Linked DNA regions of Ovis aries. The main gene of each other region encodes a partner of the protein of the gene in region 2 in a complex. Links are inferred from orthologs where the notes say so. Each region holds a gene or a part of one and is shown on either strand. Other genes may lie near its edges.

Region 1 (14,429 bases), on a different chromosome or scaffold from region 2:
AGAGCATGAAGCCCCTGTAGCTGCCTCAGGAGACCCTGGGAATAGTAGGGGCAGGGGAGACCCACCCAGACTCCCTAGCAGCTCATAGCATCTCTGATACTCGGGGAGGCAGTTTCCTGGCATGCTGGCCTCAGCTCCTTCCCCTGCCACCCGGCCCCTGCAGCTGGGGACCCTGGAAGGGCATGATGGCTCCAGCAGCCCCCAGTGAGGGCACGGGAGCTGCAGCGCACTGGTGAGGGCCGGGCCGACTGAAGGGCTCCACGGGTTGGGGAGTGATGCGTACTGCTCACAGCATGAGCTCCAGGAACCAGGGAGGGCCTTTTGGAGCCAAAAGAGCTGTAGGCTCCAGCCCACCAACAACCCCAAACACATATGCACACACATCCCTGACTACAGTGCATACTGAGACGTGCAAGAGGTCTCCATTTAAAACAGCCTTCTAGAGCTCGCCGTGGCAGTGAGACCAATGCCCCAGTGGAAGCCTGGTGCAGTTATTGAGACTTCTAAGTATCTCAACCCCCAGGAATCCAAGGTGGGGTTTCCTCTTCACCCCACAAGCCCCAGTACTCTCACCCCAAAACTAAAGTGCTGGATTTGATTGAGCGAGCGTAGACGCCAGCCTGGTGTTAACGTTTTCTGCACATTTCATCTCACATAATCCTCACGACCACCCAGTGAACCAGTGCTATTCTGACCCGAGTTTTAACAGATGGGTCAAATGAAGCTCATCTTATCAGGAGGCACGGAGCAGGTCCAGGGCAGGTGTCAGGGCTGGCACTCTAGCCCCAGTGCCGGCACTTGTAGCCACAAAGACAGAGGGTCATGCTAGAGCAGGGGGCCACGTGGCGCGGCCTCTGCTGGAGTTCCAGACAGAGAGATGCCCCCAGCACTCCTGGCTGCAGGAAGCAGGTCTCCTCACTGCATCTGGCTTCCCTGGGCTGTATGGCGCCCAAGGTCCAACCACAGGCAGCGCCCACCCTCCCTGGGGTCTCTCCAGCCTCCCGCCTCCCTCTGCTCCCTTCGGCTCTCCCCAGCCCGTACCGGAGAGGGCCAGCATGGACGGGAACTCCCAGCAGTTGTGGACGCCCATGGAGTCGGTGGCACAGCTGTACCAGAGGTTCTCGAAGATGGTGTTGGTAGTGATGACATTCCCATGCACGGTGGACACTCGCCAGCTGCTGTGCGCCAGGGTCACCCCCAGCATCAGCAGCCCCACAGCTGTGAGGAAGAAGCCGAAGATCTCCATAGCCACCGGCATGGTGGGCCACAGGCCCCGGGGGAGCCCAGGGCCCCAGAGAGGGGGAGGGGCTGGGCCCCGGGGGAACCCGAGGGGGCTTTGGCCAAGGAGGGTGGTTCAGGCAGGCTAGGGAAAGAGAGGGAGGCAGGCTGCAGCCTCGGCCTCTTCCGTGGCCCAGGTCCGTCTCCGGTGTGTCTCCTGCCCTCTCCCCCGGTCTCTTCGCTTCCCCGCAGGTCCGTCAGAGGAATGAGCCAAGCGCGCACAGCAGCTGTTGACGAGGAGATGGAGGGAATAAACGAAACGGGCCAAAAGTCCACCCCCTCCCCCCTGGCCTCTGGGCTGCCCTGGGCTCCCCGCCCCTCGAGGGTGGGGGGAGAGGACTTACCGGGGAGTGACTAACGGACGCGCCGCCAAGGAGGGGCTCCCATGGGAGGCACTGGGAGCCAAGGGGAAGCGCTGGCTTCTGACTCAGCTTTCGTCGGGGGCCAGAGAATGGAGTAAGAGGGGCAAGGAAAGAGGAAGCGGCTGAGGCAAGAGACCGAGGCTGAACACAGAGAGGCCCCCTGCACCTTTCGGTGGGGAAGGATCAAGGCAGCTGAGCCACCCTCTGAATGCTGGTGAGAACAGTTCAAGAAACTCAGAGACCTCAGGGTTGAGTCTCCAAGGGAGAGTAAGGTTGAATGAGGGAATGGGAAATCTGGGGGAACCCATGGCTTTGGAATCCAACCAACCAGGATTCCAACCAGGTCCTATCCTTGACCAGCGCGCCACGGGCATGAAGTCGGAGCCCCTTGAGCTTGTTTCTGCTTCTGTGAACTGAACTGCTCCTCCTCACTTCGTAGGTTATGTTGAGAATTGTGACCTCATATCAAAGCTCCTTGCGAGTATGAACTGCTCAGTACCAGGTGAATGCCCTGGGTGTCCAAGGCCCAGGTTGAGGCCACCAGGGGCTGTTCTCCAAACTTCCAACTTCCTGAACTTGAATTTCGCCCCTTGTTGGGTTGATCTTTGACTCTCGGCAAAAAGCTTGATCTTGCTGCCAAAGGGGCCCTAAGTGGGATAAATCACAAGCCCAGGACGTGATCCTCTGATAATCTAAGCAGCTCAGAGTTATCAGAACCGTCACCGGCTCTACTAATTATGACAGATTAGAAACCTCTGGGTCCCCACCCCAAGCCAACACTGAGCACCTGTCCTGGCAGAGACGGTCTCATTTCCCACAGCTGGGACAGCTCCGGTTCCCTTCTGGCGAGCGTGGCTGGGGCTCAGTTCCAAGGGGCTCATTCTATACCCAGGCAGTCACACGGGACATCACTGTGCTGAGGTGTAATCCCCATCCTCTTCCCTGTGCCAGGCTCCTCCATGCTGCCTGCAGGTGCCTCCTCCCCTGTCCCCCCAGTGGGGATAAAGAATGAGAGGTATGAAGTGAAGCAAGACAGGCCCAGGCTGAGCCTGGCACGGGCTAATGGGTGTGAGGCCAAGTGGGCTGGGTGGAGACTGGGTTCCAACCTTCCTTCTGCAACTGGGATGTCCTGGGTTCCTGACCTCTTCCGTGACCTCTGCCAAGTCCATGCCAAATGCCCATTTCCTACCCCCCCTGCCCCGCCCCCGGTGGCCCCCCTCCCTTAAGGAGAGGGACAGGGAGGAGGAAGGGGAGGACGCAGGACAAAGGGAGGGAAGGGCGGAGGTTTTGGAGGAAGCTGAGTGGGGGCCTCCCTGGTGTGGAAAACTCCACGCTGAGAGGCAGCTGAGTGGGTCAGAGGAGACATCAGTCTTGCCTGTCCCTTCAGCTCTGCCCTTCCCGCCTCTGGTCAGTTTTTTGTCAGGATTCTAAGGCCATGCAAAGGCCACATCCCTATGCTGCCTGCCACTGCTCAAGGACATGGCTAGTGGTGGGGGAAGGAAGGAAGGGTGTGGGGTCTGGGCAGCTTGGTGGACAAAGGAGAACCCCACAGCAGCCTCCGGGGTAGGCGTAGGAGGGCGCAGAGCAGGAAGGGCACACGTGTGACCCCGTATGCTTAGCCATATATTCCATTTTCTGATCTCCTGGGCCCAACCAAACCCACCCCTTTCTCAACATGGACACAAGAGGTTCCCAAGCCCAAGTCCAGGTTTATTTACACTCATCTCCAAGCACATGATTTGGGGATAGGTGACAGCTCTCAGGGGAGAGGAGGGTGACGTTCACAGAGGACAGGGATGCAGTGCAGGAGAAGAAAGGGACGGCCGGGGGGGTGGGCCTCTCTTCCAGTGTCCTCCACGGGCTCCCACGTGTCCCTGCACAGACGCAGGGATGCCACCTCCTTCAGGATTTGGACTTGGACACAGCAAGTCCGATGAGTCCAGCCAGTCCCGCCACGCCCAGGGCCATGCCTCCAACGATGGCCATGCCCACTAGTCCATCTGGGGAGAGGAAAAGGGAGACTGTCACGAGGCCAAACCCAGTCCCTGCGGGGACCTGGGCTACCACCTCACGGCCTGCTGCTCCTTGGCAGAAGACATGCCTCTCTCCCTGGAGTCCTGGTGTGAGGGGCCCTCAGGGCCGGGGAAAGAAGAGGGTTTGAGGAGGAACTGCCTGGAGGGCATCATCTGAAGAGAGACCAGAGGGTCCAGGCACGGGCGACAGAAGAGGAGTTAAGAGAGTGGAGAGGGGCCCGGGGATGCTGGGGGCCAAGGAAACATGAGGGCAGGGAGTGGAGGGAGGCAGAGGGGCAGAGAGGACGGCCTTCACCTTTCTTCATGGCCTTGTCAATGAGCCGTTCCAGTTCTTTGGCCTGGTTGTTCTGCGGCTCTGTCTGCAGCAGCCCTCGCACATACTTCAGGGCCTTTTCATATTCCTGCACTCAGGGAAAACAACACACACCCCCTCAGAATTCCATCCCTCCGCCTGCCCATCAGAGGGGCCTTCTCTCCGCTGGCCCTGGGGCTCCTCCCTCTCCCTGCACCCCCTCCCTTGCTCCAGCCCCACCTAGAGGAGTAGAGTCCACAAACCACCCCAACTGTGTGGGGGTGATAAGCTGAAGGAGATAACAGCCCAAGGCTTGGGGCTGCACCCCAGTGCTGACATCACTTTGCTCCCCACACCCTCGGCACCCAGATCCTCCGTCTCTCGCCTTCCCTTAGTATCTTGGCCTGCTTTCACCTTGCACCTCTGTACCCAACACCACCCCCTGCCTACTGCCCTCTCTGGCCTGGGCTCTACCCTGGAGGAGAGAGATGAGTGCTTGACCACCCAGGCAGGGTGGAGGGGGAGAAGGAAGTGCTCTGCTTTACCTTGAGCCTGTAGTTCCCCACGGCCAGGTAGAAGACATAATCCCGCTGCTCCTCTTTGCTCCCTTTGGGCAGCAGCTCTGGGGAGTAGGGAGGAAGGAAAAGGGTGAAAACCCCTTCTCTTCTTTCTTAGTGCCTGTGTCCCAGACACCCCCTTCACTCCCTAAATTCACTGTCCTGAGCCTCCACTTCAGCTCCAGTCACTCTGGGCTTCCTACCCAGAGCCGTGGGGCAGCATGAACCCCAGCCAACACTGAGGTGTACGCAGCCCCCATATCAACACTCCAGTCAACTCTGGTTCATCCAAGTGAACTAAAAGCAAATCAGGGCAGTGGACAAGCCAAAGGCATCTCTACTCCAGTTGCTTGCTGCCCAGAGTAGTGTTCAAAATAAGTTTTCACTCCTTCTCTTTTTAAAAAAACAGCTCCAAACTTGCCTTCAACTACCCCTCCCTGAAAGATCCCATCTAACTTTCTAAGTTCAGTGACTTCCCATAAGGTTACGCGTTCAGCTGTACTCTGTGTACTAGAATTTGTTGCTAAGTGGGCAGGTGTTTATACAGCTTCCCAAGCGTCTGTCAACTAGAATGGCAATGTTTAGAGACCACTTCTGCAGCTGTGTCCTATTTCTTAGGAACTGGAGGCTGAGATGATTTGCATTCAGGAAGATTCTTACTTTTATGGATTTACAATAGGTATCTTTGGCTAGTTTAGTGATTGTTTATACACCATTACTTGACCAAGAGAAAAGGGGTACAGAGAAATTTAAAGGTCAAGTATTGTGGCCTCTGACAAATGCTGACCTATCCAAAGTTAACAGGAAACAGTATTTTGATTAAAAAAAAAACCACCATCTGCTCACAGGTTTTGAGGATGGTCTTCTGGACTTTTACGTGACTCGCCCCAAAGGTTTTCAACAATAGCTGCTAAATAACCAATAAGGTGAGGTGAGGGGGCAAAGACAACACGACTGGGGCACATGAAGACAGGAGCTTCTGTTCCCAATTCAGCCATTAATTAAGCAGCTGTCTGACCTGAGACCAGTCCCTTTCCTTCTGTCTAGATGACCAGATCACCAAAGTCCCACGGGGACTGACATGCTATGACTGTCTGGCAAAACACCAATGAGGTAGCAAGTAGCCAAAAGCACACTGGGAGAAGTCAGACTAAGTGCAGCCCTTTCCTGCAGTGAGTTTACTGGAAGATAACTGAACGCTGAGATCCCATGTTGAAAGGATCCCCACACTGGAGATGGAGGGAGCAAACCAGGCCAATGGTGGCAGAGGACGACGATGGCAAGTTGGGAAGGGGAGAGTTGGGGAGTCAGCCTAGCACCTCACCCTCCAGCAGAGCAAGGCCTTTACGGATGTCGTCGTTGTACTTGCTTCGCACCAGGCACCAGGCATATTCAAACTGCGTGCTCTTGGACACCGAGCCTGCTGCCTTCTCAGACTTAAATTTCCTTTCAAATTTCTGCCACAGGAGAGGAGAGGAGTCATTTAGAAGTGAAGGGGGCAAGCTGAACTCTAGCAGGACCTGGGTGTCCCTGTTACCCATCTTCTCCCTTGCCACAACCCCCGTTCGGGTCTTGGGGTACCCGACCATGGGGTACCCCAGGTCCTGCAATCTTCATCTCTGGGACCCAGGCATTCTGCTTCTTAGTGCCGGGTCGTCTCCTTTGTCTCCTTGGACCTCCCCTCTCTGCTTCCCTCCCCCTAGTGGTGCCGAGTGGAGATGCCACCTGGTGGCGGCCCCAGGCACCGCTCCCGGAGCAGCTGACCCCGGGAGGCTGGCCTGAACAGTAAACAACAGGCTGTCAGAATAGCTCAACAACAGTCCAGCCCACGCGGCCCCTCGTCGGAGACTGCTTCTCTCAGCCCCACCCTGCCTAGTCTGGACCCTATCTTATCTGAAGGAAAAAACCGTAATAAACCTGCCTACTTCCTGTTAGAGCTACAAAGATTGAGACATCCCCTACAAGGGACTTAGCGCTGTGCCGGATCGAGTACTATGTGAAACTTTACGGTGGTCGCTGTGTTCCCCCGCCACTGAAGGAGCACTTAAAATCAAGTGCCCGCATCCTGACCTCGAGCTTCTGGGAGAACCTAGCACCCGTCAGACTCCAGGCCCCGAGTCTGAGGCGTGGTGGCACAGGAAACTACAACTCCCACTAGGCTCTGGGGCAAAGTGGACCCTCTGGGCAAGAGCCGAACGCTGCTGGGGCTGCCGGGAGCCGTAGTTCGGCTTCTCTAGGCAAAACTGATGCTGGGAGGAGAGTTTGGCCCCTACCCGACTCTCCTCAGGGCCCGCCCCTCCGAATCTTCCTTTTCCCTCCCTCGGAGCCGGGCCTCACCAGCAGGTCCTCCACAGACACCAACTCGTTCAGCACGGCCTCCATGGCCGCCGGCCCCGCAGTCCTCACAACTCGGACGCTACACTGCCACTTTCTCCATGGCCCACTGACAGGGGCGGAGAGTCACTTCCGGTGTCCGGCGGAAGCGGGACCGCCCTCCCCTACGCAGAGCCAATCGCTTCCCGTAGCCGCCGCCGAACCCGCCTCCGCCTACCGCCGCCGCGGCGCGCAGATGGTCTCACTGATGCGCACGCTGCAACTGGTCCCTCTCCCTCACCAGAGCCCGCAGGCCGCGCACGGCGCCTGGCCAGTCCTAAAGCTGGTCTTCCTGGGTACCCTGCAAGTGCCTCCGTCTACAGAGGCTCCCTGAGTGAAGTACGAGACGGTGTCTTGATGGTTAGCCCCCAGACTGAAAACAGCGTAAAGAGAAGGTGGGGATCTGGGCATGGATCCCGTAATTTTAAGATCTAGTCTAACCCTCTCTCTTCCTCCCTCCCCCCTGCCCCAACTCCCTGCTCCCAGATATCTAGGACCCTAGGGGCTACGTGACTTTTTAGTGCCTGCAAGAAAATCATAACTAGTACCAGGGTTTCCAGGGCCCGGGCGGACTTATAATGCAAGAGCAAAGAAAACTAGATCTGTCAAACGTAAACCAGAGACTGGAATACATACTAATGGGGGATGCTATTAATGGGAGTTTAAAGAAAAGCTGTTGCCTCTGCTTGCACAGAAGGTCCAATATTTTAAATATTATTTAATAAAGCATCCTCTGGGTGTACTAAAGGGGGAAAGGCCATTCATGTGGGGTCATGGGCATTAAGGAGCTTGGAAGTGAGAAGCAAAAAAACATGGAAAGGGGAAATGCTGCATGCTGCTCTGGCATCTGTGTTCTGTGCAGTGAAGCGTAGGTCATGAGGGTAGCTCAGTCGCCTCTAACTCTTTGCAACCCCATGGACTGTAGCCTACCATGCTCCTCCGTCCGTGGGATTCTCCAGGCAAGAATACTAGAGTGGGTTGCCATTTCCTTCTCCAGGAGATCTTCCCAACCCAGGGATCGAATCCAGGTCTCCTGCATTGCAGGCAGACGCTTTACCATCTGAGCCACCAGGGAAGCTAAGTGACTCTCAAATTCTCTTTACCTTGACCCACAGTACTCCAGCACACCTGTGAATGTAAGTTCCCCGAGGGCAGAAACTGTATCTTGTTTATCTGTCCATCTCTAGCTCTGAGCACAAGGAAAATGAAATGTTCAAGAAATATTTCTTGAATTGTCAGGAAATAATAGTAATGACCGCAGTGCAAATGCAGGGGGTTAGCATCCAAACAAACACCCTTCACATTTGCAAAGCCCCTTGAATCTTTTTTTCCTCATAGCCTTGTGAGTTAAAGTAGGGAGTTATTCTTTTCTGTTTGGCTTGGACAGTTGATATGAGCTCAGTAAAGTTTAAGAGAAACCTCAATTTAGGGAACTGGCTCCATAATAGTCAAGGAGAAAAATTTACGTTCCTTCAAAGATGTAGTGGGTGCCTAAGTTTGGCTGGGCATTGGGGTAAGCAGAGAGGGTAAAAAGGTGTACATAATATGAAGCAGATGAGTGAAAACAGGGCTGAACACTAAGGGCAAGTAGAACTTACCTTCCTTTGAAGGCAGGGAATTTAAGAAAGGCAAAAGTCCACTATTTCTATCAGGATGTTACTTTCCTCAGGTGGCCTGCTACCCCTCATCCATGTTTGCATCTGTTGTAGCTCTTGGCACAGGCCTGGCACATGGCAAAAACTCCATCAGGGTTTGTTAAATGTAATTTGTGGGGGGGAAAAGAATGTGTTACATGGCTCGATTCTGTGCCAATGAAGAGATCTTAAGTTTGTTCCTTGGGTCCAGTAAGCACAGCCATCCACCCTGGATTATAGGGATAAGAAGTAGTGCCTGTTCATTTTACTTCCAAATTACGTTTCTCCGTCTTTTTCAAAAACATCTGCTTTATTGACTATGCCAAAGCCTTGGACTGTGTGGATCACAACAAACCGTGGAAAATTCTTAAAAGAGACAGGAATACCAGGAATACCACCTGACCTGCCTCCTGTAGGTCAAGAAGCAACAGTTAGAACTGGACATGGAACAACAGACTGGTTCCAAATCAGGAAAGGAGTACATCAAGGCTGTATAATGTCACTCTGCTTATTTAACTTACAGGCAGAGTACATCATGCGAAATGCCGGGCTGGATAAAGCACAAGCTGGAATCAAGATTGCTGGGAGAAATATCAGTAACCTCAGATATGCGGATAACACCACCCTTATGGCAGAAAGCAAAAAACTAAAGAGCCTCCTGATGAAAGTGAAAGAGGAGAGTGAAAAGCTTGGCTTAAAACTCAACATTCAGAAAATGAAGATCACGGCATCCAGTCCCATCACTTCATGGCAAATAGATGGGGAAACAGTGAGAGACTTTATTTTTGAGGGGCTCCAAAATCACTGTGGATGGTGACTGCAGCCATGAAATTAAAAGATGTTTGCTTCTTGAAAGAAAAGCTATAACCAACCTAGACAGCATATTAAAAAGCAGAGACATTACCAACAAAGGTCCGTCTAGTCAAAGCTATGGTTTTTCCAGTAGTCATGTATGGATGTGAGCGTTATGACTATAAAGAAAGCTGAGCGCTGAAGAATTGATGTTTTTGAACTGTGGTGTTGGAGAAAACTCTTGAGATTTTCCTGGACTGCAAAGAAATCGAACCAGTCAGTCCTAAAGGAAAATAGTCCTGAATATTCATTGGAAGGACTGATGCTGAAGCTGAAGCTCCAGTACTCTGGCCACCTGATGCGAAGAACTGACTCATTGGAAAAGACCCTGATGCTGGGAAAGATTGAAAGCAGGAGGAGAAGGGGATGAAAGAGGATGAGATGGTTGGATGGCATCACTGATTCGATGGACAGGAGTTTGAGTAAGCTCTGGGAGTTGGTGATGGACAGGGAAGCCTGACATGCTGCAGTCCATGGGGTCACAAAGAGTGGGACATGACTAAGCTACAGAACTGATCTTTTTCAATAGCATCCAAATGCAAACTATTGTCACTTTGGAGTAGGCAGAGAGACCTTATAAAAATACAATTCTCAGTTTATCTGAAACCCTTTAATAGCTTCTCACTGCTGTTAGAACAAAGGCCAAAACCTTGCAGCAAAGCCCAGAAGGTTCTCTCTAGTCTGGTCTGGCTCCTGCTCTGCGTCATCTCTCCTTCACTGCCTCTCCCTGTCTGTACACTAACCCCACAGGCCTCCTTTCAGTTCTGCAACCCCTAGTGGCCACAGGCCCTCTGTACATGCAGTCCTTGCTATCTAGAACATCTCCCCTCCGCCGTGAAATGCCCCCCGCTTTGCTTATATGACTCATTCATTCATCTATGAGTTAGTTCACTCAACAGATACTTATTGAACACCTGTTACGTGCCAGGCACTGTTTAAGTATTTGGGATCAGCACTGAATAAAGTTCCTGTTCTCAGAGAACTTGCATTTTAGTGGGGAAAACAGAAAAAATAATCAAACAAGTAAATAACTAGAAACACAATAATGGCAGGGTGCTGTGAAAACAAGAAAAGCAGGGGAAAGGGACTGTCAGAGAAGAGGATGCTGGTGGAGGAGAGCTCAAAGAAGCCCACCGTGGAGAAGTGACACCTGGAGAGAGAACTGAAGTAGCCGTGCAGGTGAATGGGGAGAACATTCCAGGGAGATGAAACGGCAAGAGCCAAAGCCTTAAGGAAGGAACACATAAGAGTGGTTTAGAAAATGAGGGCAGAGAGGTAGCCAGGGGCAGATCGTGGGGGTCCTTGTAGACTATGGTAAGGAAACTGGACTTAATGTGACCAGTGATGGGAAGTCATTGGAGGGTTTTGGGCAGCAGAGTGAAATGATCTAGCATAGAGCAATCCCTCCGGTGGCTACTGGGGTGGCCCAGGCAAGAGACAGTGGTGACCTGGTCTATAGCGGCAGCAGTGGAGGTGAAGGCATTCAGGATATGTGGTCAGAAGGTGTGGTCAGCAAGAACTGCTGATGGACTGGATGTGAGAGAGGAGGGTAGGATGACACATAGGTTTGTGCCCTGACTGACCTGGTGAATTCCTACTGACGTCAGTTCTAAGCTCTAAGACTCCTCCTTAGGGAAGGCCTTCCCTGGCATCCAGATTAGGAGGGCTCCTGTTGAGAGGCTGAGCACTACCCATCCTGCATTTTCAGAATATAAGACTGAAACCCGCTCATTCTTTTCTTAGTTAGCCCTGTGTTTTTGTGAACCACACGAGTTTTGGTTTGGGTATGGTAATAACATCTTCCAGGAGCCAAAGACTATTCTGCTATTCTCTTTTCTTCCCCAGATAAAGGAAGGCTCACATGTGACCTGTGGTCCAAAATGACACCAGGAAGGTAAGAGTTCTGTTTGATCTATGAGGAAACTGAGACTCAAAAAGCTTAATTCATCTCCCCTAGGTCACAGAGCTAGAAGTGGAGGAGCTGGGATTTAAACCTAAGTCCTGCTTCAGCATCAGAGACGAGGAGTCAGTTAAAGAATAAACAGACAGACAGGATATGATGACTTTGTAAGTATGCTCCAGTTTTTATCTTTAAAAAATTTAAGTGTAAATTTTTCATTTTTTTTGTTTTTTGTTTCGCACGGTAGAGGACTTCCCTTAAGCAGCAGATGAATGAGGAAGGAACAATTCAGATTAATTCAGAATGAAAACAGGCAAAGCAACAGCAATAACCTCCCTCCCCCTTTTTTAGTAAAATACAGTAAAATTAAAAACAAAACCCCCCAAACCACCAACAATGCCCCTGCGATTGTTGTATAACTGACTTCTGTCTCTTGGCAAGTGGCTTGTGTTTTTAGTTCACAGTATGTGTTACTTTATGTTTCCCCTCATGAGAAACGCTGAGCTGGAAGAAGCACAAGCTGGATTCAAGACTGCCGAGAAATATCAATAACCTCAGATATGCAGATGACACCACCCTTACGGCAGAAAGTGAAGAGGAACTAGAAAGCCTCTTGATGAAAGTGAAAGAGGAGAGTGAAAAAGTTGGCTTAAAGCTCAACATTCAGAAAACAAAGATCATGGCATCTGGTCCCATCACTTCATGGGAAATAGATGGGAAACAGTGTCAGACTTTATTTTGGGGGCCTCCAAAATCACTGCAGATGGGGATTGCAGCCATGAAATTAAAAGATGCTTACTCCTTGGAAGGAAAGTTATGACAAACCTAGATAGCATATTCAAAAGCAGAGACATTACTTTGCCAACAAAGGTCCATCTAGCCAAGGCTATGGTTTTTCCAGTGGTCATGTATGGATGTGAGAGTTGGACTGTGAAGAAAGCTGAGCACTGAAGAATTGATTCTTTTGAACTGTGGTGTTGGAGAAGACTCTTGAGAGTCCCTTGGACTGCAAGGAGATCCAGCCAGTCCATCCTAAAGGAGATCAGTCCTGGGTGTTCATTGGAAGGACTGATGGTGAAGCTGAAACTCCAATACTTTGGCCACCTCATGCGAAGAGTTGACTCATTGGAAAAGACCCTGATGCTGGGAGGGATTGGGGGCAGGAGGAGAAGCAGACGAAAGAGGATGAGGATGAGATGGCTGGATGGCATCACTGATTTGATGGACATGAGTTTGGGTAAACTCCGGGAGTTGGTGATGGACAGGGAGGCCTGGTGTGCTGCGATTCATGAGGTCGCAGAGTCGGACACGACTGAACGACTGGACTGAACTGAACTGATGTATTACTTTCTAATTATACACTTGTGTGATTTGCTGATGAATGCCACCCTCCTGTATTAGACTGGAAGCTACAGGAGGGAAGGGTCTGTCTGCTTTGCTCATCTTATGTCCACAGAGCTCAGAGCCTCTACCAGTAGATACTCAATTTGTACTAATTATTGTTGCATAAATGGTTATTGCAGTTGCTATGATTAACTTTTTGGAAAAGAAACCAGCCAATATATAGTAAGAGCTATATTATTTGACTAGTAATCTACTTCTGTGGGGGAAAAAGTATTCAACAAAAGCCAAAAAGAAAAGAAAAGCAAGGAAAGAAAAGGCATGAAGAAATTCATTCCTGCATATCTCTGAAGGTAAACAAACAACTAAATCACCAAGGAATGGTTTTATTAAATGATGTTACATCAATATTATGTTACATCAATGTAATAATAAATAGTCCTAAAGTCAGTCAGCTGGATTGTAGGCTGATCATATTAAAAACAAAACAAAAAAGTATGACCTTCTCAAATTCAGTCCTGTGAGTGGGCAGAAAGGAAACTGACATTTTTTGCTGGTGGAACCAAAACCTAGAACTGGTACTTGGTGGCAGTGGCCCTCCTTTGACGACACCAGAAATTGGAGCCTGTTTCGGACTTCTGCCTTACAGCATCTTGTCAGGTCGGCCCAGGAGAAGTTCTCAGCAAACACCCACCAAACAGAATTCCACTATTATTTTTAAAAAGTTAATAGGAGATCAAACCGGTCAATCCTAAAGGAAATCAACCCTGAATATTCACTGGAAAGACTGATGCTCAAGCTCCAATACTTTGGCCACCTGATGCGAAGAGCTGACTCACTGGAAAAGAGCCCGTTGCTGGGAATGATGGAGGGCAGGAGGGGAAGGGGTGACAGAGGATGAGATGATTAGATGGCATCACCGACTCAATGGACATGAGTTTGAGCAAACTCCGGGAGATAGTGAAAGACAGGGAAGTCTGGAGTGCTGCAGTCCACGGGGTCACAAAGAGTCACACATGACTTAACGACCGAACAACAACAATTTATTATTTGGCTGTGCCCAGTCTTAGTTATGGTATGCAGGATCTAGTTCCCTGACCATGGATTGAACATGGGCCCCCTGGGTGGGCGTGCGGAGTTTTAGTCACTGGACCACCAGGGAAGTCCCAAGTGTTCCACTATTTGTGTTCTAATCTTCAGTGATCAGTCTCCTCTACTTTCCACTTTCATCTACTGTTTAATTAGACAGGAAGTCCTGTCAACTCCCAACTGGTTCATTCATCCAGCCAACAAAACATTTCTTAAGGGTCTGCTGTGTTCCAGGCACCCTTCTAAGTGCTGCGTAAGAGAAATGAACTAAACAGACGTAAATCCTTCTCCCATGGAAGTCATAAATCCTTCTCCCATGGACGTCAATCTTAGGGGAAGAGAAAAGACAGCTAACGAATAAATAACATAACATCAGGCCACCGCTGCCTCCATTCTGTCGTCATACTCTTTAACAGCCTTCACCTGTTTTCCTCTTTCAACCCAGCCTGGCTGCCAGCTGCATTTTAAAGTGCAGATCAGACCCCACATCGCTTGACTAAAATACCGTCTAGACTACTCAGGCCCACTCCAGTACTATTGCCTGGAAAATCCCATGGATGGAGGAGCCTGATAGGCTGCAGTCCGTGGGGTCGCTAAGAGTCGGACACGACTGGGCGACTTCACTTTCACTTTCGTGCATTGGAGAAGGAAATGGCAACCCACTCCAGGGTTCTTGCCTGGAGAATCCCAGGGACGGCGGAGCCTGGTGGGCTGCCGT
Region 2 (14,429 bases):
ATTAGCGAAAGCGGAAACTAAATCAGAGAAGCTGGGCACTCCAGTATCGCCTTGCCCATCTGGGATTTCAGTTCTCTCATCCCAGTGCTTCCTTTGCCCTGACCCCCTATCCACCACTTCCTTACTTTACACAGAAACACCGAGGGGACTGTCTTTTTCCCAGGCCTCACAGTGCTCCCAATCCAGTGCTTTTGCCTTCTCAATACTATTCTTTTTTTTTCCTCTTACCAGACTGTGGCAGGTTTAATAGCGGCCTCAAAGGTATGCCCAAGTTGTAACCTCCAGAACCTACAAAGAGGACCTCATTTGGAAAAACAATCTTTGTACATGTGATTGTGGATTTTGAGATGAGCTCAATCTGGATTAAGGTGGGCCCTTGTTTGTGCTCAGATGCTCAGCTGTGTCGACTTTGCAACCCCATGGGCTGCCAGGCTCCTCCGTCCATAGACTTTTCCAGGCAACAATACTGGAGTGGGTTGCCATTTCCTACTCCCATCAATACTATTCTTAAGGCTCCCTATCCTCTTCCAGTCCAAGCCTTAGGTTTCTTTCTGTCCTTCCTAACTTCCAGATGAAATCCTCCCCAAAAGCCTCTGTGGTCCTTCAGACACAGCCAGTTCTCTTTTCCTACCCTCTGGCTCACTTGCGGTTAGACTCAGTCCCCCGGATCTGCTTCCCTTTCAGTTTCAGTCCACAAGATCATACTTCTTTTTTGGAGCTTCCTGAAACCCTAAAACCCTGGGCTCTGTGTCCAACTCCTCCCAGCACTCTCAGTTCCTGACTCTCGGAAGGTAGAACACGGCAGGCCTGCACATCACTCCTGGGATTAGATGTATCCCCCTGAAAAGCCCTTGCCAGCTCCACCTCTTGTCACTTTCCAACTCTGACCCAGAGACACCAGGCTCAGCTGAGCAACTGACTTTTTTTGTGTGCAAAAGGGAAACCAAGACAGTCATTCCAATGCCTAGTGAAGAAGGAGGTCCAGGTGATTAGAATTAAGACAGCCCAGCCCAAGAATCCACAAACTCACCTTACTTCTGAGTAACCTCACAGTAAGTTTTCCCCAATACTCCTGGAAACCCTTGTCCCGAGCACAATGTCTTATTCCCTGCCAGGTAAGCACACTTGAGAATAGCCAAACCCTCACTCCATCAGAACCCCTGTGAACAGGAGGTAGCATGCCAGCCCTCAGGTTCCAATAGGTCTCACGCTCGTGTGATAGGTCTACACCAGGGAAGGCCCTGGGGACACGGTTGGTCTCAGTCCCATTTTGTGCCCTTTCTGCTCAGGACTGGACCCCATACACAAAAAGGCCCCATTCAGTTGTTCCCTTTTAAAGCTGGGCTCCAAAGGGCCTCTCCAGAGGAGGGAAAACACCCGTCACTTACTTCACTCTGTGTACAGAGAGCAAGGTGACAGTAGCACACATGCCCTAAAAGAACATGTGGCAGGCTATGGCAGAGCCACAGCGTGGTCTTCTGACCTTCCCGTCAGCCCTCTCCCATCTTCAATGCTGCCTCTGGAGAAACTGTGTGGTTCCCCGAACGTAGAAAGGGCCTCCAATTCAAGGCCACAGACTAGCCCATAGGTCCCTTCACACTCCCTCGCCCCTCCCCACTCACAAGGACAGCAGCAAGGAAAAGCCAGCAATGTAGAGGTTCCTCTGGGCACGGAAAAGCTTCATGTGGAAGTGCTCCACAGCCCCAGGGTTGTTCTGGAGGTTCACCTTCTCTGTCACATCATCATACTTTCGAATCTCACGAACAGCATCTGTGGCAGAGCAGAGATACAGGTGTTCAGCCCCGGATCAGTCCAGCTGAGATGCAAGGCGTGAGTCTGGGCAGCCTCGCTTTCCTCAAAACTATCTCCCCTGCTCTTCCCCTTCTACACACATCTTGATGGATGCCTTATCAGAAGTGCTGCCCTCCGACCTGTTCTCTCCTCCAGCTTTTCTCATGTCACCCTCTAGACCCATTCTACCCAGACCACAAGCTTGCTCTCCGTGTCAAGAAGCTCACCGAATCTGAGATGTCGCTGGCAACCAGGGCAACTCCCTTTGCCACGGTGCCCCCACTGTTTGGTTCTGTTTATCACAAACGGGGCTGGCCATCAGCCACCCAACTGATAAGCCAGGCGAGTCCTGTTTATGGAAATGCCCACAAGGGAAGCATGAGCTGCCTAGGAGTCAAGACCTGGAGGATGCCTGCTAAAGATTCAAAGGTTTTCATTTCTAAGTGTCTAAGCTTTATAACTGGTTACTTAAACTGGTGTATTCTGCTTACAAAAAAAAAATTCATGCTCATCAATGTTCAATGTAGGAGAAAGAAGCCCATAACATAATCAATCACCTCCAGTAGAACCTACTTCATGTGGCCAGCTTAAATAAAGCAATCATTTCCAGTCCCATTAATCAATGTCATACACACACCTAAAATTAATGTTCATGTCCCCCAAATTAGACTACAGCGCCACAAGAACAGAAACCTTTCCTATTACATCCTTAAGGCCTAACAGAGTTCTAAGCTGTTACAGGGGGAGCACAAACACCTGAACAGTGAACAACCTCTGCTCTAAAAAACCATTACTGGCCACTCATATATATATATATATATATATATACTCACATCTGTGTGTTTACAGGCTAGAAATGGAACGATCCCATACCTACTACTTTTCTCCCTCAACCCTGCTATCTCTTTTTTCTCAATTGAAGTACACTGATTTGTAACATTATATAAGTCCATTACTTCTATTTCTGTATCCCCTACAACGTGCTTTAAAAAAAATATGGAATGCTTCATGAGTTTGTTTGCCATCCTTATGCAGGGGACATGCTAATCATCTGTCTCATTTCAATTTTAGGATATGTGCTGCTGAAATGAACATCTGAGACATCTTTTTAAATCATTATGTAAAGATCTACCTAAAGAGTGCTCTTAATGGATCCCCATGGGAGAGGGGCAATGTAAGGCTACTATCTGGTTCTTAATTTCTGGTATGAGACTGCTTGTTTTTTAGGCTGATTTTACATCATAAAAACACACCTCCACTTACTGGTATCTTTGTGTTACATCCGTGGGCTTCCCAAGTGGCTCAACAGTAAGGAATCTGCCTGCCAATGCAGGAGACACAGGAAATGTATGTTCGATTCCTGGGTTGCAAAGATCCTCTGGAGGAGGAAATGGCAACCCACTCCAGTATTCTTGCCTGGAAAATCCCATGGACAGAGGAGCCTGGCACACTACAGTCCACAGGGTCGCAAAGAGTCAAACCGAACTGAGTGACTCAGCATACACACATGTGGGTTCCTGACCCCCAAAATTCCCATTTGGGCACCTTAACTCTCAACCAGATGATACTAGGAAGTAGGGCCTTTGGAAGATGAGCACAAAGCCCTCATGAGTGGGTTTAGTGCCGTTATAAAATAGACTCCAGAGGGCTCCCTTGTCCCTTCCTCCATGTGAGGACACGGCCAACACAGAAAATGACTGTGGAAACATAACACAGACTGTTAAAATAGTTACCTGTGAGACATGGGTTTATGGGAACCTTTAACTTTGTAAGTTAAATTCACAAATTTCTAAAGCTGTGCTATTTTTGTGATTTAAACAAAAAACATGTTTTCCCACACTGTCTTCTGCAGCCAGAGACCCCAGCACCTCAAGGTCCACCTTGACTAATGGCAAAGAGCCAACCAGGGATCGGGGCATTGGGCCAAACTAGCTCAAGTCATACAGCAGAGGGCTACCCTCTCTATCTCAGGCCTCCAGCCCACGGCAGTTGACCCTGAACTCTCATTAAGCCCACTCCCCCAGTGAGATGTGCCCTAGATCCCTTCCCAGGGATGGCTAGGGGCCAGCCAGGGCTGCAGCTTCTAGCTAGTTATGCTATGTCGCTAGCATTTGCTACTAGCTAACAACTTACTCTGACTCATTGGAAAAGACACTGATGCTGGGAGGGACTGGGGGCAGGAGGAGAAGGGGATGACAGAGGATGAGATGGCTGGATGGCATCACCGACTCAATGGACATGAGTTTGAGTAAACTCCGGGAGTTGGTGATGGACAGGGAGGCCTGGTGTGCTGCGATTCATGTCGCAAAGAGTCGGACACGACTGAGTGACTGAACTGAACAACTTATTTAGGCAGACCTCTACAGATTACATTAGGATACGAAGCAGCCTTTTATCATAGCAGGATGTCGCTCTAGAACATCCAGGCAGTTCCCTGACTCCTCAAAAAGAAAAACGGCACTTTTGCCAACTACCACCTTCTGCAAAGGGCCTCTCCCACCCAATCTGCCATACCAGGAGAATTCGTGGAATCTGGTGTGCAGAAGGGCAAAGCTCTAAGTGAACACCCCCCAGCATGGTCCCTCCCCACCCCAACTCTTACCCCCAGCCCACACCTAAAAGCAAAAGCACACACACCCAGTTCATAAACCCTGCAGCCTACTGAGACCAAGGTCAGGACAGGTCCATTAGCCTCTCTTGGTTTCAGCTCTGGAAGGACCCAAGGAGCTGCCTGAGACACAAGATGGTCAGCACCAGGGGCATAAAGGCTGCTGGTCAAAGCAAAGACCCTGCCAGCAGTCAGTAGCAGGGATGCTGACGTCTTTGTGGATGAAGGGAGCTTTTCTTCCCCCAAGAGAAAGACAGGCGCACTAAATGGTCTGTCTCTGAGAAGTCAAAGCTGTACTCTAATCATGGAACATGGCACATGGCACAGGGCTTTGTAGCAGAGGCCATGGCAAAAGGTCTAAGTCAGATAGCTACCATCAGCCACAACTCACTCACCAATGACCAGTAGCACAAGGATGACAATGAGAACCACAAAGAAGGTGTTGCCATATGTCACTACCAACTCCACAAGGCGGGACTTGAAAATCTTCTGCCATCTGTGAAAAAGACAAAAAGGCTAAGGTCAGTAGAGTAAGAACACACACCTGGGATCCAGGGCCCTGAAAACAGATACAGTTTTGCACTCTTCTTCAAAGACTGAATATCTCATACAGATTCAGCCTCAGCTGCTTGCAATTTTCCAACTTATGACATCTGTTCAACAGTGTTAAAAAGAAAAAAAAAAAGACACCTGTCCAAGTATAGAAATTTCTAGAAAAAGTCTTAAACACTGGTAGGCTCTGGGGAGAGAAATGCGAAACTTAGCGTCCCCTCTGTAGTATCAAAATGCTTGCCAAATCCACATTATTTCTTTAAACTGTTTTCCCATGTGCCCAATCTTGGCTCATCTAGACTCCCACCACCCCCGATTACCATGAAGCAGACCCCAGACCTCCCTACCTTTCCCTCCATAAATACTTCAGCATACAGCTCCGTCAAAGAAGACCCTTCAGAAATGGCTACCAATCGCAATGCCACCGTCAAGCCTCAAAAATATCAAGAAAAATCTCTCATCATCAGAGCCAGAACTCCAAAGTCCAACTGAGGCAATTATTTTTAACAATTGGTCTGTTTGAATCCTGACAAGGTTCTGATTTTGCATTCTGTTAATAAGTACCTTCAGTTCAGTCGCTCAGTCGTGTCCGACTCTTTGCGACCCCATGAATCACAGCACACCAGGCCTTATTCTACGAACTCCCCCCTCCCTTGCTCTCTGATTTCTCCCCTAATTCACTGTTGCAGAAACCAGGCTGTTTGTCCTGCAAAGCTTTCCATGTAGCAGCTCCAAGTGGGCCACTGTCTCTGCATTTCCTGTGAACTGTATGAGGTGATTCAGATCTAGCTTTTGTAAAGAACATTCCTTAAGCAGTGCTGTACACTTTCTATCACAACAGCAGCCTGTGATTTTTCATTAAAAAGAAGCTTCTATGAAAACATCTGTAAGTCTTATTTGTAATGTTCTAACTTAAGATCAGATGTGTTCCTATAGTATATGTAATCAAGATGAATTTCAAAATAACTTTTCAGAAGTCCTCTGTTCACTGAAAAGAAACATGGCTTCGGCCTTCCTAGGCTGAGTAATGCTCATGAGGCCACTTCGCAACCCCAGCGAGACTGGTTAGGAGGACAGAAGTCACCAAATCAACGGTAACATGACCCAGAGGCAAGTCTTGCAGATCTCACAATGCCATCTCCTAAACACCCGGAGGGCATCGTTTCCAGAATGGTCACTTGGTCTTGTCCCCTCTGGCACACTCTGAAGACCAGAAGACAGGGTGCAGGGGAAAGGACCTAGTCAAGATGTGACTGAGCACAACTGTGGGCCTAGCTGGCGATAATAAACACAGTCCTTGCCACCCCCATCCCAGACAGGTTCTACCTGTTTCCGGCTGGCTTCAACTCTAAGGCCCCCCAACTCTGCAGGCACAAGCTACCGAGACTCTTCCTGGCTTGCCTGCCCATACCTTTTGGGAGAAATGAAGGGAATGCAGAGCAGCAGCACAGCGAAGACCTCTGCATAGAGGAAGGTGGCGACTGCGGTCCACTGCAGACTCATCGTGTTGCTAGCAGCTTTCCACCGGGATGATGTGAGCCTGTTCCTGATGGAGCACAGAACAAACAGGCGTCGTGACAGCTCGGCAGCCACCAGCCCTAGACCTCAGAGCATTCCCAGCCCTCGAGCCCCGCAGCCTGGCTGCCAATACCTCCAGAGACACTTTTCCAAACAATTCCTCCCCGTGGAGTCCGGGAGACTCCGCCTGCGGAACCCTGGCAGCAGTGGGTGGGAATCGGCAGTTCAAGCTACCGCCCACCACACCGCAGCCTCGGTCCTAGTAATGCCTTTGCGCTTCCTCCCAACCTGCGATGCCTCTGGGCCCTTCCACCCGGGCCGACAGAGGAGTAGCGAGCAGCTCCTCCCAGGGCAGGAGCGGAACGCAAAAGCCTCCCAACCACCGCCCCTTCGGCTCAGCTTTCAGTATCTCCGAGAGCCCCCGAGAGCGACTCCTAGAGGACGAGAGTTGGAGCCAAGGGCAAGAGCGGGTCTCAACCCAGCACCTCACGGCCCCGTCCAGAGAAAGTTCTAGAAGACTGTCTCCTCCAAAGCCGGAGAAACCCCTCCCGGCCTCCCAGGTCGGTCGCGGCGCCTACCCGGCTCCAGAAGACCCCTCGACGAGGCCCCGACCCGGCACGCCCTCTCAAGCCCCACCCCGCCGGCTCCTCCGGAGGGACTTCGACGTCGCCCCCTACCCTGGAGATGGCTCCACCCGCCGCCAGCCTGACTTCCCTCCGCCCGGTCCCGCCCCCGCACTCTAGCCTCGGCCCTGGCCCCGCGCACCGGGCCTCCCCGCGCCCCCTCGTCGAGGAGCCGGGGGACCTCGGCGGCCCGGAAGCCCAGCGCGGCGCGCGAGTCCGCTCACCGAGTTCTCCAGAGTCACCACGCACGCCCAGTCGTCGCCAAACTCTCCCACCACCAGCCCGGCCCCGCCCCTTCCCCGCGGCCGGAACCGGAAGCGCCCGGCCAGTCCCGGCCCGCCCCCAACCGCCACAAGGCCCCGGAGGCCCCGCCCCCGAACCGAGGCTCCCGACGTCTGGGACTGGGGAAGGAGCCACGCCTCGCGCGCGCGCGCGGAGAGACGGGTCCCCGGCCTTGGCGGGAAGGCGAGGTGCCGCTTCTCTAGCCCGCGCGGTCCTCCGGCGTCTCTGTGGTCCGGGGAGGGGGCGGGGCCCCACCGTGGGGCGAGAACGGGGTGGGGCGGCCCGTGCCTGGGCTCCGCCTCCCGCCCCTCCTCCGCCTCCTCCCCCTCCCCCGACTCGCCCCTGGGGAGGGGTGGGTGGGTAGGTGGGGATTCTGGGCGGGTGGCGGAGTCACAGTCGCTTCAGCCGGGCTGTGGAGCGGACGGACGCGGCCGGTATCCCAGGGAGGGGCGCTACCAGGGGAGGAGGAGTAGGAGGTGGAGAGAAAAAGACGCCCTCGGCCGGAGACCTCTAGAGGCTCTGACCCCAAGGGCCAAGGGACTGACAAGTTCCTCCACTTCGGCCGCCTGAAGAGGCCGTGACCCTGGAGGGCCCTGAGCCCACCCGCGCCAGGGGCCCCAGCGCCACCCGGGTGGCCTAAAGCGACAGTCTCAGGGACCACTGCGAGGTCTCCAGTTGCCTAGACAACGAGCCCGGGGTCAGAGCCACCACCCTTGCAGCCACCTGCCTCCTCTGCCGCCTCAGGCACCCGTCCCGGTCCCGTGAGTCCAGCCCAGGTGACATGACGGTGCTCTCTACCCCCAGAGCCTCGCGGGTGACCACGCTGAAGCGTACTGCCGTGGTCCTGGCCCTCATGGCCTATGGAGCCCACAAACTCTACCCTCTGGTGCGCCAGTGCCTGGCTCCGGCCAGGGGCCCTCAAGCGCCGGCGGTGGATGGGGAGCCCGCACCAGACGTCTCCGGTGCCCCCGTGGCCTCAGCGGCCAAGGCCGGTGTCAACCAGGTGTTCTTGCAGCGGCTCCTATGGCTCCTGCGGCTGCTATTCCCCAGGATCCTGTGCCGGGAGACGGGGCTGCTGGCGCTGCACTCGGCCGCCCTGGTGAGCCGGACTTTCCTGTCGGTGTACGTAGCCCGCCTGGACGGCCGGCTGGCCCGCTGCATCGTGCGCAAGGACCCTCAGGCCTTCAGCTGGCAGCTCGTGCAGTGGCTGCTCATCGCACTGCCTGCCACCTTCATCAACAGTGCCATCCGCTACCTGGAGGGCCAGTTGGCCCTGGCATTCCGCAGCCGGCTGGTGGCCCATGCCTACAGTCTCTACTTCTCCCAGCAGACCTACTACCGGGTCAGCAACATGGACGGGCGGCTTCGCAACCCAGACCAGTCCCTGACGGAGGACGTGGTGGCCTTCGCTGCCTCCGTGGCCCACCTCTACTCCAACCTGACCAAGCCGCTCCTGGACGTGGCTGTGACCACCTACACCCTGGTTCGAGCAGCCCGCTCCCGCGGGGCTGGCACAGCCTGGCCCTCGGCCATCGCTGGCCTCGTGGTCTTCCTCACGGCCAATGTGCTGCGAGCCTTCTCGCCCAAGTTCGGGGAGCTGGTGGCTGAGGAGGCGCGGCGCAAGGGAGAGCTGCGCTACATGCACTCCCGAGTGGTGGCCAACTCAGAGGAGATTGCCTTCTACGGGGGCCATGAGGTGGGGCTGCTCCTGGGGCCGGAAAGCGCGTGGCTGGGGGAGTCCGGGGCAGGAAGGCCTGGGGCTGCCTATGGCTGATGGCACAGGTGTGGGCTGGCCATGGGAGAGGGAGGCTGTGGACGACCAGGGCCGTGGGCAGCCCGGATCGGCACAGAAATGGAGAAGCAGGAAGGCTGGGTGGAGACTGTCCTGGGTCACTTCTGCTTCCTCTCCACCTCCCTTGTCCTGGCCTTAGGGCTGTGGACCCTAGTGATGGGAGACCCAAGAGCTCCCAGCCTGCCCCCTGCCTGCAGCCAACAGAGAAGGGGCTCCTGCCATCTGGGGGCAGGGATGACAGGATGCAGCCTGCTGTCTGGCCCCCTCCTATTCCCCCAGGCCCTTTGAAGCCCGGCGTCCGGCCGGGCAAGTGGGCATTATGGGCATGACTCAGCCCAAGCGGAGGTTAACAAGCAGCAGTGCTCGGTGTGTCGATCGGATCTCAGCGCTCCAGATCAAGCTTCTCCCCCCTCCGGAGCCCAAAGGCTGGCCTGGCTGCGGGCTTGGCTGCCTCCCCGAGGCCCCAGCCAGGGGTGCCGGGGCCCAAGCCGCCACTGCAGCAGGACGCACTTCCTGCCCTCCCAGCGGCCACCTTGCCCCCAGTGTGGCCGCCCTTCCGCCCAGGTCCCAGCCGTGCAGCTCCCCAGCAGGCTGGGTCAGCGGCCAGCCGGCTAGGGCCAGGAGCCGGGGCCTGGGAGAGGTTACTCCAGGCCAGTGCTCCGGCCCCTCCCCTCCTCCTGCCTGGGTTGCAGCTGCCTCCGGCTAGGTTCTCTGCGACTCTGGTTTCGGTTCCCCAGTGCTTCTGGGGGAGGGGTACAATGGCATCCAGCTCCTGAAGGCCCATGGATCCTCCCTAGGTCAGATGGCCTTGTGTCCTCGACCTTGTCTCATTGGCAGCCCATCTTATCAGGCAGGGAGGCAGGCTTGTCCCTGATTTTTTTTTTTTTTTAAGACTTATCCCTGAGCAGATAGGGGCATTCCCGGCTGGGCTCCAGATAAGGAGAAAAAGGGCCGGATCTGCAGCCGCAACCCCCGTCCTCCTCCCCTGTGCTCCAGGGACGCAGGGTCTTGGCAGGCAGCCGTGGCCCTGGGTGAGGCACTTGGCACATTCCCCGCAGCTACATTGTCAGCCCCAGCTGGCACTCTTGCCAGCTCCCAGCACGAGCCTGGATCGCCAGGGCGCTCAGAGTAGACGTGCTCACTTCAGGAACGGCAGAGCGATGCCCAAGACCTAGCTGGGGACAGGGGAGGTGGGAAGAAGGGAGAATCACTAGCTCTTTGAAGGATTTCCTCTGGGTTAGTTTCAGGAAATAGCATGTACTTGGGGCAGATTCACCAGCTGGGGTGGGAGGGGCCTGATGTACGTCCCCAACCTGTCTGTCAAGGCCTCGGGCAAAGGGCTGTGTGATGTGATGGGCCTTCATGGGTGGCTTGATTGCCCTCACTGTGCGGGCACGTGGCTCAGCCCAGTCCCATTGGCTGATGTCCCCATGGACACTGGCCCAGGCTCAGATCAGCAGGCTGGGGCAGAGGTAGCTGGCTGACTGGAGGGCAGACCGCCGAGTATTTTGCTATTCCTGGGATGTCAAGGAGAAGGGTTATTGCTGCTGCTGCTGCTGCTAAGTCACTTCAGTTGTATTCGACTCTGTGCGATCCCATAGATGGCAGCCTACCAGGCTCCTCTGTCCCTGGGATTCTCCAGGCAAGAATACTGGAGTGGGTTGCCATTTCCTTCTCCAGTGCATGAAAGTGAAAAGTGAAATGAAGTTACTCAGTCGTGTCCAACTCTTGGCGACCCCATGGACTGTAGGTAGGCTCCTCAATCCATGGGATTTTCCAGGCAGGCATACTGGAGTGGGTTGCCATTTCCTTCTCCACAGAAGGGTTATTACACGGGCTCATACCAACACATCCAACCTCTTATTAGCCTGAGCACGGGTAGACTTTCTTAATAAGTCAAAGCATCGTTCACAAGAATTGGCTTTGTTTAATGGCTCAGCCTACCTGGTCCAAATGCCATATGTCTTGCCACCTCCAGGCTGTGTGAACTGGAGCAGGTCACTTTGCCTGTCTGGGCTACCACAGACAGGAGAATACACATACAATGGGACGTGGTGAGAATCAAGTCAAGAGTCAGCTATAACATGGTGAATTGGCAAAGGAAACTATTCCAGGCTGGGCAGCTCTTGTCCGTTGGGTAGGGAGACAGGATCAGAGCAGGCGCCCCTACCAAGCCATCCAGGACCCAATGGCCACCTTGCTGCGACTGCTTCTTGGCCACTCCAGCCCATCTAACTGCTGCTGTCCCAGAGAGCCTGTTTCTCGCCCACTCTCTCCTGAGATGGCAAGTGGTGGCCAGTGCACAAGCAAGCAGGGCAGGTCCCCTCGTGGCCTGGCTGGCGGGCTGGCGTCCTCAGCTGGCTTGGGTGTGGGGCTGTCCACTGGGGGTGATGCCTGAACGAGCTTGCTTGGGAGTGTGCCCTGCCGATCACAATGGGAGGACACAGTGCAAGTTTATCACCCAGAGGAACTGTGGGAAAGGAAAGGGAGGCCAGGGCCTATGGAGGTAGAGATGACCGGAGCACGTTCTTTGAAACCAGCTATTGCCTTTGTGTTTCCTGCACTCCCCTCCGCTTCATTCAGGGTGACCCCTCCGCAGTTGCTCAAAGAAATGGGCAAGGTGGCTGCCCTCAGCCCGTGTTGAAAAACTCTCTGGGGCAGAAAGGGGGCACGGTGAACATCCCAACTGAAGAGACAGTGGAAAAGGGGTGGGAGCCTCAGAAATGAGGGGGTGAGCCCCTTCACTGCCGTTGTACCCCAGCTCTGCATTGTCTATGCCATACCTCCCCTGAGTTTGAGACCTGTCCCCCGTCCATGGTAACCCAGACAGGGAAAGTGACCTGCTCCAGCTCACACAGCCTGGAGGTGGCAAGAGGTATGGCATTTAGACCAGGTAGGCTGAGCCATTAAGCAAAGCCAATTCTGGTAAACAATGCTTTGACTCATCAAGCATGGCCCAGTCCTAAGCCCCAGCTCTCAGCCCCGTCATGGCCTTTGAATGCCATGGCCTGTGTAGCCTGGCACTCAGGGATGCTCGCTGTTGCCCCGGGGGACTGACTGCCACACCTCTGGGTCTCCGGCACCCCTTCCCCACAGGTGGAGCTGGCCCTTCTGCAGCACTCCTACCAGGACCTGGCTTCCCAGATCAACCTTATTCTGCTGGAACGCCTGTGGTATGTCATGCTGGAGCAGTTCCTCATGAAGTACGTGTGGAGCGCCTCTGGCTTGCTCATGGTGGCTGTCCCCATCATCACTGCCACTGGCTACTCAGAGTCAGGTGAGAGGGGGCCGGCCTTCTGGACCACTGGGCTAGGCTTGGGAGGGCCCAGTGCCCAGCTGGCCCACCTGCCTCTTCTACTGCTGGGGACCCCAGCTGGCACCCTCAGGAAACGTCCGAGGTCACACCCTCCCAGAGCTCCTCTCTGCCACTCTACATGTGGTTCCCCCTTACAGTATCTCACGCTTCTTGGTCCCACTCAGCCAAGCCCAAGGATGGCAGTTCAGGAACACCCTTCAACAGGCATCTGCACAGTTGCCCATCTGGCCCTGTCTTGACCCATCTTGGCAGTGGGAGGATGGGGAAGTATGTTCAAGGAACCCCTTTCTGGCTCAAACCTGGGCTTTCCCATGCCCGCAATAGCTCTTGCAGGTTGTCAAGGGCAGGACCCTCTTCCTTGAGGCCTAGGGGACTGTGAAGGATTCCCAGTTTGTTCCTCTACCAGTTTGCAAGGAATTCATTCTATTTGCAGTCTTCGTGGTTGCCCTTCGAAAGTTAATGTGCATACTTGGGAGAAGTCTGGGTTAACCAATAGCTCCTCCTCATCCCAGCCCTTGCTTACCATATTTTGGAGGACCAGCCCACCATCAAGTTTGCCATGGCTTTATCGGGTCACTGCATGTTCAGATTCGCCCGTGAGTTTCTGCTTTTTTTGTGGTTCTCTTTCTCTACAGTTTTTTCTAGGAAAGCCCTTCCCTGCAGGCCGGTAACCCTCCTTCGGACAGACGTCCTTCAGAAGTTCTTACCGTGAGGCTTTTGTCAAGGGAGCTTTGAGAATATTTTGTTGCCTGAAAATGTCTTTATTTTACCCTCCCCCCCCCACAACTGAAGTTCAGTTGGATGAGGAAGTTGAGGCGGTCCATTGGTCTCTCTTTAGCCCGTTGACAACATCCCATTGCCTCTATTGGAAAACCTGCCATCAGCTTAACTGCTCTCAGCTGTGGTCTCCCTGGTTAGACCTTTTTCTCTGCAGTTTCTCTGGGAGGTGTTAGCCCGTGTGTTTCCATTTATTCTGCTTGAAACTTCTTGTATGTCCTGTGACTATCCAGACTGTTCCGTCACTCAGATTGCTTCCATCATGGAAAGTTCTCAGCTGTTCCCTTTTCAAATATTTGAATGAATTGAATGAATTCCTCTCTCGTCCTGTGTGCTCTTTCCTTCTGGCCTCTGTCTGCCCCATTCCCCACCTCGCACTGTCTGTGCTAAATTCTGGGAGGGGTCTTCCTATTTTCCTGCTCACTCATTGGCTAGTTTTCTCTTTGGCTGCATCTAATTTGAATTATTTTAATTTTCAATTTTTTTTCTGTAAAGTTCTACTTGATTCTCTTTTAAATAGACATTTGAAAATAGAAATTTCAAGCTGTGTTTGTCTGCTTTTCTCATCTCTCTGACTGCCCCTTTTCGGCCAGCTACCATACTAATCATGCTTATTCCAAGGTCTCTATCCAGCGATTCGAGACCTGGGTTCAATCCCTGGGTCAGGAAGATCCCCCTGGAGAAGGAAATGGCAACCCACTCCGGTACTCTTGCCTGGAAAATCCCATGGGACGACGGAGGAGCCTGGTAGGCTACAGTCCATGGGGTCACAAAGAGTCAGACATGACTGAGCCACTTCACTATTTATCCAGCCATTTGGTTGTCTGAATTCTTGAGAGTGTAAGCCAATTTCATCTTCCAGCTTCTGGTCTTCTTTGCTCAAGGTCCTTGTGGGCTTAGCAAGCACTGGAGGGTAGGATTCCCCAGAACACTCATTGACTTTGGTTTTAGCTGAGCTCCCAGGTAATGAACCGTTTGGCGGCCATTTCCTGTTAACTTCTCCACTTGGGGTAGAGGGGTTCCTGAACTTGAAAGTGATATTAATTTGAGCCCTAGACACATAATCACCAGTTCGGAGAGGAGACCTTGCATCTTGAGCCCTGGCTTTGTGACAGCAGCTCCCATCTCTGTCTCCAGGGACATCACAGGAGCACTAGCTGCTAGCTTCTC

The links.
Region 1: the proteins of BCAP31 (region 2) and FIS1 are in contact, whole or in part, in a crystal structure (PDB 8XWX), measured with the Homo sapiens proteins. The link is inferred for Ovis aries from reciprocal best matches to the Homo sapiens genes BCAP31 and FIS1. Residues at the interface, in NP_001132913.1 of Homo sapiens: Asp224, Leu227, Glu228, Ala231, Lys232, Ala235; in NP_057152.2 of Homo sapiens: Arg52, Val56, Glu59, Glu60, Pro63, Lys64, Lys89.

Annotation. Positions count from the first base shown.
Region 1 is NC_056077.1:35,886,631-35,901,059, reverse strand, and holds FIS1 (mitochondrial fission 1 protein), read right to left. Parts: upstream 6,968-14,429; 5' UTR 6,905-6,967; coding exon 6,860-6,904; intron 5,980-6,859; coding exon 5,847-5,979; intron 4,588-5,846; coding exon 4,511-4,587; intron 4,075-4,510; coding exon 3,823-4,074; 3' UTR 3,641-3,822; coding exon of another isoform or gene 3,543-3,640; 3' UTR 3,330-3,542; downstream 1-3,329. Other genes in the region: CLDN15 (claudin-15), read right to left, coding at 1,042-1,258. UniProt on the Homo sapiens protein: Involved in the fragmentation of the mitochondrial network and its perinuclear clustering. Plays a minor role in the recruitment and association of the fission mediator dynamin-related protein 1 (DNM1L) to the mitochondrial surface and mitochondrial fission.
Region 2 is NC_056080.1:80,538,821-80,553,249, reverse strand, and holds the start of BCAP31 (B-cell receptor-associated protein 31), read right to left. Parts: upstream 7,362-14,429; 5' UTR 7,147-7,361; exon of another isoform or gene 7,048-7,146; intron 6,847-7,047; exon of another isoform or gene 6,603-6,846; intron 6,498-6,602; 5' UTR 6,455-6,497; coding exon 6,363-6,454; intron 4,896-6,362; coding exon 4,795-4,895; intron 2,885-4,794; exon of another isoform or gene 2,782-2,884; intron 1,771-2,781; coding exon 1,623-1,770; intron 1-1,622. Other genes in the region: ABCD1 (ATP-binding cassette sub-family D member 1), read left to right, coding at 8,156-9,070, 12,263-12,443. UniProt on the Homo sapiens protein: Functions as a chaperone protein. Is one of the most abundant endoplasmic reticulum (ER) proteins.